Rattus norvegicus: one gene and its partners. The protein of the gene in region 3 purifies or fractionates together with the protein of the main gene of each other region. This does not show direct contact. Links are inferred from orthologs where the notes say so. Each region holds a gene or a part of one and is shown on either strand. Other genes may lie near its edges.

Region 1 (3,500 bases), on a different chromosome or scaffold from region 3:
GAGGCTCAGGAAGGATGGGTAGACTGTGCGAGCCTGCATAGCTGGTGCACGGTAGAACTGGGGTTTATGTGCCAGGGGAACTGTGGGTAATACACTGCAGTCCCCTCCGGCAGGGCTCTGGCCTCCTGTCTGCTTTGACCTGGGGTGTCTTCTTACCCAGGATGAATCATCGACTGCAGAGCTTCTTTAGTGGGACAGTGATGGGCGAGGCTGCCATGAAGACTGTGAAGGATGTGGGAAGCCCCCTGAAATATGAATTCCAGGTAAGGGCGCCTCTGGGGCCCTGGCTGTCGACTCTTCTGAAAGACCGTGGGGAGACTGTCCCGTATCTGGGGTTCAAACATGGAAGGTTTTAGGGTTGTTGAGCTGTGGGTGGTTTTCCAAAGGATGGTAACCATGACACTCAGGTCATGTGTGCCCACAGGTGAGCCCAGTGGGAGACGGGCTGGCAGCCTTGGGCACACTGGTTCTAGGTCTGGAGTGGCCGTATGAAGTTACCAATGGCAAGTGGCTGCTGTACCCTACGGAGATCACCATCCACAGCAATGGGTCCTGGCCCTGCCAGCCACATGGAAACCTTGTCAACCCTCTCAACCTTACTCTCTCTGTAAGTCCATCATCAGGGATGGTCCATGCATGTCTCATTTGCATGGCGGAGGCAGAAAGGCCAGTGTCTTCCCTGGCCACCTTGGTGGTCTTTAGGAACCTGACTATTCCCTGTCCCTTCCCTATCTCCCATCAACTATTCTCTCTCTCTGACTTCCCAACATATCTCTGCCCTCTCTAGGACCCTGGAGTCAAGCCACTGTCCCCACAGCGCCGGCGGAGACAACTAGATCCAGGGGGAGACCAGGGTCCTCCACCTGTCACGCTAGCTGCTGCCAAAAAAGCCAAGTCTGAGACCGTGTTGGTGAGTGGCCAGGGCAAAGGTGGGGAGGGACTGCACAGGCCATCACAAGGCACATGGACATCAGGGGCCCACAGGCAAGAGTGATAGTGACCACTCACACAGAGACACAGAGACACTAGAGAGAGAGGTACTGTACATCTGGGCCTCAAGAGTCTCCTGACAAAAAAACAAACTTAACCACCAACCCTAGGGCACATCCAACACAGTGGTCCCAAAGAAGAATGCTGGCACTTCCAAGGCCTCACACCCTGTTGGGTGTAGCTTGGACATTTGGTGTGGGGAGGGGCTAGAGGATGTTTAGGGCAGAGTGCAGGAAGAAGTTGAGGAGAACATATGGGGACCCGGGGGAGGCCTTACTGGCTGGAGAGGTTGAAGGGGTATCCCAAGACAGCAGACGACACTCAGCGTGCTTGGCTTGGGAGAGGTTTCTGAGGCTGCTCCTTGCCAGTCTGAGCAGGGCCTATGCTTCATGTGTTCCCTGAATCAGAGGAGTTTGGCCCGAGAATGCAGCTTGAATGCGTGTTCCTAACGTAGAGGAATACCCATGAGCAAAACAATGAACCCCAGGCTGGGACGAAGTCTAGGAGGGAGAAGGTAAGGAGCCAGTGTCATGTCTAGAGACTCAGGCTGTCTCCTGTCTGTCCTCCTGTCCACCTCAGACCTGTTCCAATGGCCGCGCCCGCTGTGTGTGGCTGGAGTGCCCCCTTCCAGATGCCTCCAACATTACCAATGTGACCGTGAAGGCACGGGTGTGGAACAGCACCTTCATTGAGGTCAGTGCTGGGTTTGGAGGCCTTCATTGCTATTCACTTGGGTGAGGAGAGTGGCAGGGAGGGATTGAAGGCAGGGTGTGTGTGAGTGCAAATGTGCATGTATATAAAACAGTATCATGTTCTGCACAGTTGCGTGTCTGGATGTGAATGTGTAATATTTCCACATCAGTGTTGTGGTTGCATGTCACGTGTGTGAATGTGTAATAATTCCAAAATGACCTTCTATGTGTCCTTTACATTCTATCCCTGTGCCTTTGCCCTTGCTCCCCCCCCCCACACTGTAATGCCAGCTTTTTTTTTTTTTCTATCTCTATGTGTGACTTCCCTATTAAGCTATCAAGGTCTCCAGCAACCTTCACTTCTAATCATTGAGATCCTAGCTAACTTCAGAAGCTGGAGTCCTCTCCTCTCAATAAGACATGTCTTTCCTGGAAGTTATCTGGGTCACCTGTCCTGCTTGGATAGATTATGGGTACTCTTTTTTTTTTCCCCTGGAGCTGAGGACCAAACTCAGGGCCTTGTGCTTCCTAGGCAAGTGCTCTACCACTGAGCTAAAGCCCCAGTCCTTTTTTAATTTTTTTAAAAAAGATTTATTTATTTGTTATATATAAGTACACTGTCACTGTCTTCAGACACACCAGAAGAGAACATCAAATCCCTTTATGGATGGTTGTGAACCACCATGTGGTTGCTGGGATTTGAACTCAGGACCTCTGGAAGAGCAGCCAGTGCTCTTAACCACTGAGCCATCTCTCCAGCCCCTATTATGGTTATTCTTATACCCGCCCTTTCTTGGTATGTAGTCTAACCTTTTCTTGAGACTAGACTATCAATCTTTCTGGCCTATAAGATTGGTTCCTGTCATATCTGCTCAGGCTCCAACGCTGGACTACAAAAGCCACCTTAGGTAAATGAAGGGGCATGGCTATGTACCAGAAACAGGTGCAGAGTAGATTTAGCCCACGAGCCTGACCTAAACTGTGCCCTTCCCTGTGTCTGCTAGTCTGGCATCAGCACAGAGCGCAGTGCAGAGGGATGAATGGGATACATTTGTGTGTGAGAGAGGCTGGATGACAGATCCTTTGAGAGTGCCGCCTGGTGGGGCACTGAAGAGGGTAGAGAGTGTAGAGTCAAGGGGGAGACCAAGAGAGACGTCAGCTGCTAGTTCTGACCCCTCTATCTTCTTGGTAGGACTACAAAGACTTTGACAGAGTCCGAGTAGATGGCTGGGCTACCCTGTTCCTGAGAACCAGTATCCCTACCATCAACATGGAGAATAAGACCACATGGGTGAGTAGGTGTTAAAATGATGCTGGTCCTGATACTGGAGGCCTGCTACCTTAGTTTCCTGGGAGAATCGTTAAGTTCCAGGTCTGCTTAGGCTACGGTGAATTCAAGGCCAACCTGGGCAACTTACTGATATTCTGCCTCAAAACTAAAAGTGAGGGGCTGGGGAGATGTCTCAGCAGGCAAAGGCCTTGCTCAACTAGTGTGAAAACCTGAATTTGGATCCTTAGCGCTGAAGCACCCAGGTAAAAGCTGGGCACTGGGCTGGAGAGACGGCTCAGTGGTTAAGAGCACTGACTGCTCTTCTAGAGGGCCTGAGTTCAATTCCCAGCAACCACATGATGGCTCACAACCATCTGTAATGGGGTCTTCTGGTGTGTCTGGAGAGAGTGACAGTGTATGCACATACATGAAATAAATAATTAAAAAAAAAAAAGAGCTGGGCAGGTTGGCCCATGCACATAACTTCAGCTATAGGTCACTGAAGGCAGGGGATGCTGGGGGCTGGCCGGCCAGCCAACGTAGACAAA
Region 2 (3,500 bases), on a different chromosome or scaffold from region 3:
ATGGTTTTGAACTTCCGTTCCGATGCTTACGAAGAGGACATTCACACACAGCCTCATGGGCAGGAGTGTAGGTAGCTCCCTTAGTAGAGTGCTTGCCTAGTGTGCACAGAGTCCTGTTGTAACTCTAGCATCGGTTCGACTCCAGCACTGTATAAAACCAGGTGCGATGGTGCATGCCTGTAACTCTAGCACCCAGGATGTGCAGGAAGGAGAAATGGTTCCGGGCAACCAGGGCTACATGAAATCTGTCTCAAACAAGCAACAAACCCTCAACAAGATCTCTTTCACCCTAGCATGAATGGTAGAATGCTTGCTGTCTCCATTTTCTGGAACAGAGTTTTTCCTGGAGGCTGTTTGCTGTGCCTGACCTCCTGTGCACGCTCCTGTGCACGCTCCTGCGCACGCTCCTGTGCACGCTCCTGCGCTTTCTCTCCTCTGATGGTTTTAGCAAGTGCTTAATGAATGTAAGTGATTGAAGTATTGGCCCATGAGAAGCATAATTAGTAGCCTCATCCAGTGACCCAGTGAGGAATGCATTCCAGAGTCCAGAAGTGAGCTTCTGACGGCCAGATCTGGCCTGCCTCCAAGCTGCATAATCCGAGGCACTGAGCAGCCAGCCACCTCTGCTGCAGGCTACAGACTTACGTATGAAAGCTGGGTTATGCTAAACACCTGGCTTCCAGCTACTGAAAGAAATGTCAGTCCAATTTGTCTGTCTGTCCATCTGTCTATCTATCATCTGTCTGTCATCTATCATCCGTCTATTGTCTGTCTCTCTGTCTGTCTATCTCTCTATTCATCTATCTATCTATCCACCTTTCTATCTGTTTTTCCAGACAGACTCACACTGTAGCTGAAGCTAGCTGTGATTTCATGGCAGTCCTTCCCTTTGTTCCCAGGTGTCTCTGTAAAATGCAAATACCAACCAGCTCAGCTTGTAGGAGCCTGCTTTCTCAGACACCTTTTCAAATAGCAAAGACCTAAGGTCGTGGAGGACAGGCTGAAAGAGTCCTGAGGCAGGAACATTGGCTATTTCCAGTTATCTTTAGTACTCTTTGAGTTCCTGAAATTCAGCCAGAAAGTGATTGGTTCCTAGCTTCAGCAGAAGAAGGTTCTAGCTTGTTCTTGAGCTCCCCCAGGTGGTCCAGTGAGAATTTAACTTTAAAATAGTAACAGCGTTGGGAAGAAACAAGTTGGATTAAACACCTCAAAGGTCCCCAAATTCTGAGAAGCAAAGGTTATGGGGCGGAGCGCTGTAAAAGAACTCGTTATCTGTTGCTCAGGGGGTGCGTAGATGCCCTTTAAGCTAACACCATTTTGTTCATCCCAACCTAGCAATTTTGGGTATTCTTGAAGCTGAAAAAGAAAGAAGAAAGTCAGGGTTGTCGTCAAGAGTTCAGTTTCGAAACCAAGGTTCTGAGCCAAAGTATACTCAGGAGCTGACCCTGAACAGGCAGAAGCAGCGGGCATGCATGGAGGAGACGCTCTGGCTGCAGGTGAGTGTGTGGCACCCGACCAGGGCTCGGGTGTCCTGGGGGACGCTTGGTTTCTGAACCTTCATCTCTGCGCTGACATCGTTTTGGAGGTCCGTTCGCATTTGAGCACACTGACTGTGTCACTGCGCCCTTTGCAGGAAAACATCAGAGACAAGCTGCGCCCCATCCCCATCACGGCTTCTGTGGAGATCCAGGAGCCCAGCTCTCGACGGCGGGTGAATTCACTTCCAGAAGTTCTTCCCATCTTGAATTCAAATGAAGCCAAAACAGTGCAGACAGATGTGAGCTTCTTGGCTTTCTCTTTTGCCAGTGTTGGGTTTGTTTTGCAGGCCACTTCCTGTGGCAGGTATGTATGGCCAGGTGTGGTGGCCGTGTGTGTGCTTTTAATCCCAGCACTCGGAGGCAGAGGCTGGAGGATCTCTGTGAGGTCAAGGTCAGTGTGATTTACACAGCAAATTTCAGACCAACCAGGGTGCAAGGTGAGACCTTAAGAAAAAATAATCAACAAAAACACTTCTTCTTATTTCTATGCACATAATTGGCCTCTGAGAAGTTGTCTCTCAAATTGGCAGTGAAGATTAAAAACCTAAGATGGGTTTTGGGGATCAGATTTCTTTTTCTTCATTGTTTTCTTCATTGTTTTTGGTCCCTGGTACTTACCGAGACTATAATTAACCAAACTTCATTCTCCTGTAGTTGACATACTTTATTCTACTGAGAACAACACAGTATGATACGTGTCTATTATTAAAATTAAGGAATAGAGTAAAACTTAGCAAAGCAAAAAAACCCAATCACAACGAAATACTTCAGTGTCTAATGCAGCTTAGTCATTATAGGAACGTGTATTCCGTGGCCTGCTGGATATGTCGTATGATATGGGATGTGTGCGCTAGGACAGAGTAGAAATGAGCCTAGTGAAGTATGACATCTTGATCCGGCATTGTTGTTGTTATTACTGCTGTTGTTGTTGTCATCGTCGTCATCATCTTTTTATTTTGTTTTGAGACAGGATTTCTCTGTGTAGCCCTGGCTGTCCTAGAACTTGCTCTGTAGACCAGGCTGGCCTCGAACTCAGACCCACCTTCCTCTTCCTCCTCCTGAGTACTGGGATTAAAGGCGTGTGCCTCCACAGCCTGGCTATTACTAGCATCATCTTGGTCACTGTCTTGGTGCTGGGAATTATACCCAGGGCCTCCCAAATGCTTAGCACGTTTGCTGTGACACCACGTGCTAGCTGTCAAGATCCAGTTGGTGAATGCAGATGTGGCTGAGTGGGTAGAGTGCTTGCCTGGCACAAAGCCTTGACTTCATCCCCAGCACCACATAAAAATGGCAAGGTGGTCCATGCCTGTAATGCCCACACTTGGGAGGTAGAGACAGGAGGACCAGAAATTCAGGGCCATCTTTGACTATATAGCAACTTTAAGGCCTGCCTAGGCTACCTGACACACTGTCTTCATAAAAACCAAAACCAAACCGAAACAACAACAACAACAACAAAAATCCAGCTACTGCTGAAATGGTAACTGAGGCCCCGGTACAGTTCCTTACCCTTAGCTTTGAAAAAGAACTCACTGCTTTCAATCTAACGCTACCCTTTGTTGGTTGTTTGGTCACCAGTTAGGATTAGTCATGTTTTTCTACCCTTCGTGTCTTGTGATGTGAAACACTGTTACTGTGTTACTAGTTCTTGTGCACAATTCCAGCTCCTGAGCCAAGTTAAACATAACAGGAAGAGGAGAACTTGTTCCTAATTAGGTTTTCCTCATCTGTACAATGGGCTCAGAAGGATAGGGTCTCTGTAGAATGTTGTGACGGTTAAATGAGTTAAAATATATAGCTCACTTCAGGGAGCATAGGGCCGTGATACTGAAACAGCTCCCCTTCAAGGGCTCCCCTACGTGAGACCATGATCTGATCAAGCCAGAATGAAAAGTGTCTAAAGCCACACAGCCCAGCAGGTGTCAGAGGTGGGTTTGGAACTCAGATTCCCCGAGGCTT
Region 3 (4,148 bases):
CAAGTTTCCAAATATTATTGACTCCTACCCATGTTGCTGGAAGTCCTTACGTCTGCCCTGTAGCCTTCAGGCTGCAGGCTCTCTAGTCCTCTGGACTCAGGGAAAGCATCTCCCCCACACACTTTTCCCTCTAGATCTTAGTCTCCTCGGTCTCTTACCTCTCTTTTCTAGGGAGCTGAATCTGAGGCTTCGAGATGAGAGAGATGCCTGTGAGACTAAGCTGCTGGGCAGTAGCCACAGGAAGGCTCTAGCTATCGCCCACAAGCCGGGACCTATCTACTGCTGCTGTTGTTGTGGCTGGGCTCGGCCCCCCAGACGAGGCTCTGGCCATCTTCCTAGTGCCCGATGACCAGCCAGCCACCAAATGACTCACTTCCTTATCCAGAGGACTATTCTTAGGAGGGGATTGGTCTTGGGTGGCGGTTGCTTGCTAAGTATGTAGCTCTACCCAGAAAGCATCCCATGCCTGAAGGAACTAACCCTCAGAGTGGTCAGGTCTTCAGTCTTTATCCTGTCTTCCTTAATCTTTGTCTAAAGGACCAATAAAGGCCACTGTATACTGTGCATTCCTTGGTTTTTGTGTGTTTGGGAGCTACAGTGCATTTGTGGTTCGTGCACTGGGTAACACGGAGAGATTTACAGGTGCACATTACCCAGTCGTTCCTGCCCCTGTGGGTCCCCTTGTGCTTGTGTATGTTCTGTGGTTCACCAAGCCCTCACCATCCCTCACAGCTGAAGATCCAAGGACTCAGGTTTCAACAGGTGTAAACTCCCGGGTGCTGGTCCTCAAATGGAAGGTCCCGCCCCTCACTTCCGTGAGGTCAACTAGCGCTCTGGTCCAGACCATCATCCTTCTGGCACAGTTCCTAGACAGACCATATGCAATCCACACTGGGTTCCTCTCGCAGGGCCCTTATGTCTCTGTGGGACCTTTCAGAACCCTCCACACTCGATCTGGAGCTCCCCCTCTGGCATTTCCTCAACCGCTAGAACCTGCAGCTTCAGAGTTGTTCTCCCGGCTTAGACTGGAGAAGAAATTGGTCTTGACCTCAGTTCTGGGCCTCTAGTGCCACCTTCCCCACCTCTTCGCTCCCCACCTGGGTTCTTTCTCCAGCCTAGCTCCTCTATTTCTGGATGAGTCCGAGGTTTTGATAAGAACGGGTGCCCTCAAGCTAACTTTACAGACCCACAGGGCAGATCTCCAGGTCTCTCCCTTGCGCCTTAGCACCAAACCAGTTAGGACTTGCCTGCCCCAGCCGGCCGTGGGCGGGGCTGCGCCTGGGGCGGGGTCGCGCGCGGGGCGTGTCCTCGCAGGCCCCGGGCCGAGCATTCTCTGTACTCCGAATGAGCGCTCCTACAGTGGCTGCCGGGGCTGGTATTTCAAAGCGTGGTTGGTGAGTGCTCCGAAGCCGAAGGGTATGGGGAGCAGTGTCCTGAGTTCCTTGCTTACTGGTGTTCCTAGTCTCCGTGGCTGGCCTCGGGGCCACCCAGGAGGCAGAGCCCGTAGGACAGGGCTGCAGGCTCCTTTCCGGAAGATCGACGCCGGGGCAGGGCAGCTAGAAGCGCGGCGGGAAGGGGGAGGGGTAAGGAAGAGAGCCTCTGTGGTTCTTGGGCAGGCCTGGCGGTCTCTTTCGTGGAGAAACCCGGAAAGTTAAAGTCTGATCACCCTATTCATTGTCCCTGGACACCGGTTCCCTCCCCTGAGACCGCAGGTCCGCCCACTGGCACGGGGCGGAGGCGGGCGGCAGGGACGGTGGTGACTTCATCTCTGTGACGCGGGGATTCCTCGCCCAGCCGACTTCAGTATTTCATCCCGTCGGTGGGGCGGGTGCCCGGTGCCATGGAGGGCTCAGGGGAGGTACTGGAGCTGAGTGTAGGGAGGTAGTGTCCTGGCCGCAGGAGCTATTTCTGGCTGGTCCCGGCTCCCACGCGGACACTTTCTCAGGGAATTTACATTCAGTCTGCTGATTGTGCCTTGGCTTAGGTTGCTGGGTATGTCGAGAGAACCAGCTCCCCATAGGTTCTGGGCTTTTAGAGCCTAGCCCCGGGGTTTGCATTGTGGCTAGCCAAGCTTCTGTTTATGTCATTGCCCGCATCCAGTGAGGCAGCATGTATTTTTGGGTCCCATCTCCGATTGGAGGTCTGAAATCTCTCCCACTTCCAGAAGTGGACGGTTGATGCATCCTCCTTCAGTTTGCAGTCGCTGCTGTTTGGTGGGGAGGGAATGTGATGGATGAGCCTGGAGGGCGGGGCACCTGGAGAAGGCATTTGTTCCTCCCTAGATCAGGCAGGCCAGCAATGTTCTCTGGCCTACTGCCGTCCAGTAGAGAACAGTAGGCTTGGCTGTTATGCTTCCTTGCAGATCTGGTGGCTCTGAGAATCATTCTGATTACTGCTTCAGACACCATAGGAGTGGCAAGATCCCACCTGCCAGGTGAAGGGCGGGCAGATCAGTGACTTTGACCTGTACCTGCTGGTCCTGACTTCCAGAGGTGAGTGCTGGGGCTTGGGCAGATCCTTAAGGTAGCCGGCTAAAAGTTCTGTTTAGGTGCCTGTCTGGGAGCCTGGCCTGGCTCAGCTGAGGTTTGTACACTGTCCTCAGATGCTAGTGTGTCTAGGGGACCCCTGGAGGACGGCACATGCACATCTGTGGAACTGGGGAGCAGATTGCACAGGCTCCACCTACCGGCATTTTATTGTCTCTGCCCTGGCTGGTGGTAAAGTCGGCTGGCGGTAAAGAGGCTCAGAGTCCTCACAGTGTACCTGAGGGTGGCCTGAACTCGCTGCTTCTCTGCCATCTCTGGGGATGGGTATGAGTTGTAAGTACCTATCAGCCTGATCGTGGGGCTCAGGAAATGCTTGAGGGTGTCTATCCACAGGAATGTACCCTGAAGGCCTGCTGGAGCTTCCCCTAGTTGCCAGCAGGAGTGAGTCAGCAGATGTTTTGGGGGTCCTCCATGATAACCCAACATGTGTGTCTGGCCGTGAGGGGTTAGTCCAGGAAGTGACTCACATATGGTTCCTGGGAAGGCTCCTCTTAAGGCAGATAGCTGGCCGGACTCCAAACTCTGCAAGCATCTGGGGACTGCTGCATCCTCTCTGTCTTCATCGGTGTATAGCTTTCTTCTTAGTTGGAGGCCTGGTGCTTCAGGCCATCTGACCTCCTCCCCATTTCTCCAGGCCCAGGATGGGGGAATTCAACGAGAAGAAGGCAACATGTGGCACAGTCTGCCTCAAGTATCTGCTGTTCACCTACAACTGCTGCTTCTGGGTGAGAAGAGCTACATTCTCCCTGCATCCCTATTCCCCATGTTGGAGGCCTGGCCTAGGAGCTCAGTCCCAGCTTCCAGACCCAGGCCTCATGTGGTGACCACTATATACTTTCCGCAGCTGGCTGGCCTGGCCGTCATGGCAGTGGGCATTTGGACACTGGCCCTCAAGAGTGACTACATTAGTCTGCTGGCTTCAAGCACCTACCTAGCAACAGCCTACATCTTAGTGGTGGCTGGTGTTGTTGTCATGGTGACTGGAGTCCTGGGCTGCTGTGCCACTTTCAAGGAGCGACGGAACCTGTTACGCTTGGTCAGCAGGGCCTGGTGGCACCTGGTGGGGCTAGGGATGCCTGACATGGATTTCTCAGGGGTCTCTGGTACTGGTTCTGGGGGCCTGACTTGTTGAGTGTATTCCTGTAGGCTGTCCCTGTTGAACTCACTGGGGCAGACACCAGCTTCCAGAGAAGTATCAAGGAGCTAGGCAGCCCAGAGTGTAATTCCTATCCACATTCCTCTTGCTTGGCCTCTTGGGTTGGGGGCTTGGCTTTGTGGTGCTTTGGCACTAGGAACCCCCCACTTACTGGGTCCCTGTTCCCTAGTACTTCATCCTGCTCCTCATCATCTTCCTTCTGGAGATCATTGCTGGCATCCTGGCCTATGTCTACTATCAGCAGGTAAGGGCCTGAACAGGCCACAGGGTAATGTCCGGAACGAGGCTGTCAGTCCCACTGGAGGTCTTGACCAGCTTTGCCCTTACGAGTTTAATCCTACCCACAGCTCAACACCGAGCTCAAGGAGAATCTGAAGGACACCATGATCAAGAGATACCACCAGTCAGGCCATGAGGGTGTGACCAACGCTGTAGACAAGCTGCAG

Evidence for each region. The genes of interacting proteins can lie anywhere in the genome.
Region 1: the proteins of Cd151 (region 3) and Itga3 purify together in Homo sapiens (co-immunoprecipitation; 4 studies listed by BioGRID and IntAct, with this or other methods). This does not show direct contact. The link is inferred for Rattus norvegicus from reciprocal best matches to the Homo sapiens genes CD151 and ITGA3.
Region 2: the proteins of Cd151 (region 3) and Itga6 purify together in Homo sapiens (co-immunoprecipitation; 3 studies listed by BioGRID and IntAct, with this or other methods). This does not show direct contact. The link is inferred for Rattus norvegicus from reciprocal best matches to the Homo sapiens genes CD151 and ITGA6.

Annotation. Positions count from the first base shown.
Region 1 is NC_086028.1:80,494,902-80,498,401, reverse strand, and holds part of Itga3 (integrin alpha-3), read left to right. Parts: intron 1-160; coding exon 161-263; intron 264-424; coding exon 425-607; intron 608-787; coding exon 788-910; intron 911-1,569; coding exon 1,570-1,683; intron 1,684-2,874; coding exon 2,875-2,973; intron 2,974-3,500.
Region 2 is NC_086021.1:77,077,203-77,080,702, forward strand, and holds part of Itga6 (integrin alpha-6 precursor), read left to right. Parts: intron 1-1,335; coding exon 1,336-1,496; intron 1,497-1,633; coding exon 1,634-1,777; intron 1,778-3,500. UniProt on the Homo sapiens protein: Integrin alpha-6/beta-1 (ITGA6:ITGB1) is a receptor for laminin on platelets. Integrin alpha-6/beta-1 (ITGA6:ITGB1) is present in oocytes and is involved in sperm-egg fusion.
Region 3 is NC_086019.1:205,992,952-205,997,099, forward strand, and holds the start of Cd151 (CD151 antigen), read left to right. Parts: upstream 1-1,348; 5' UTR 1,349-1,394; intron 1,395-1,723; exon of another isoform or gene 1,724-1,992; intron 1,993-2,362; 5' UTR 2,363-2,492; intron 2,493-3,180; 5' UTR 3,181-3,187; coding exon 3,188-3,271; intron 3,272-3,390; coding exon 3,391-3,582; intron 3,583-3,871; coding exon 3,872-3,946; intron 3,947-4,049; coding exon 4,050-4,148. Other genes in the region: Cracr2b (EF-hand calcium-binding domain-containing protein 4A), read left to right, coding at 172-349. UniProt on the Homo sapiens protein: Structural component of specialized membrane microdomains known as tetraspanin-enriched microdomains (TERMs), which act as platforms for receptor clustering and signaling.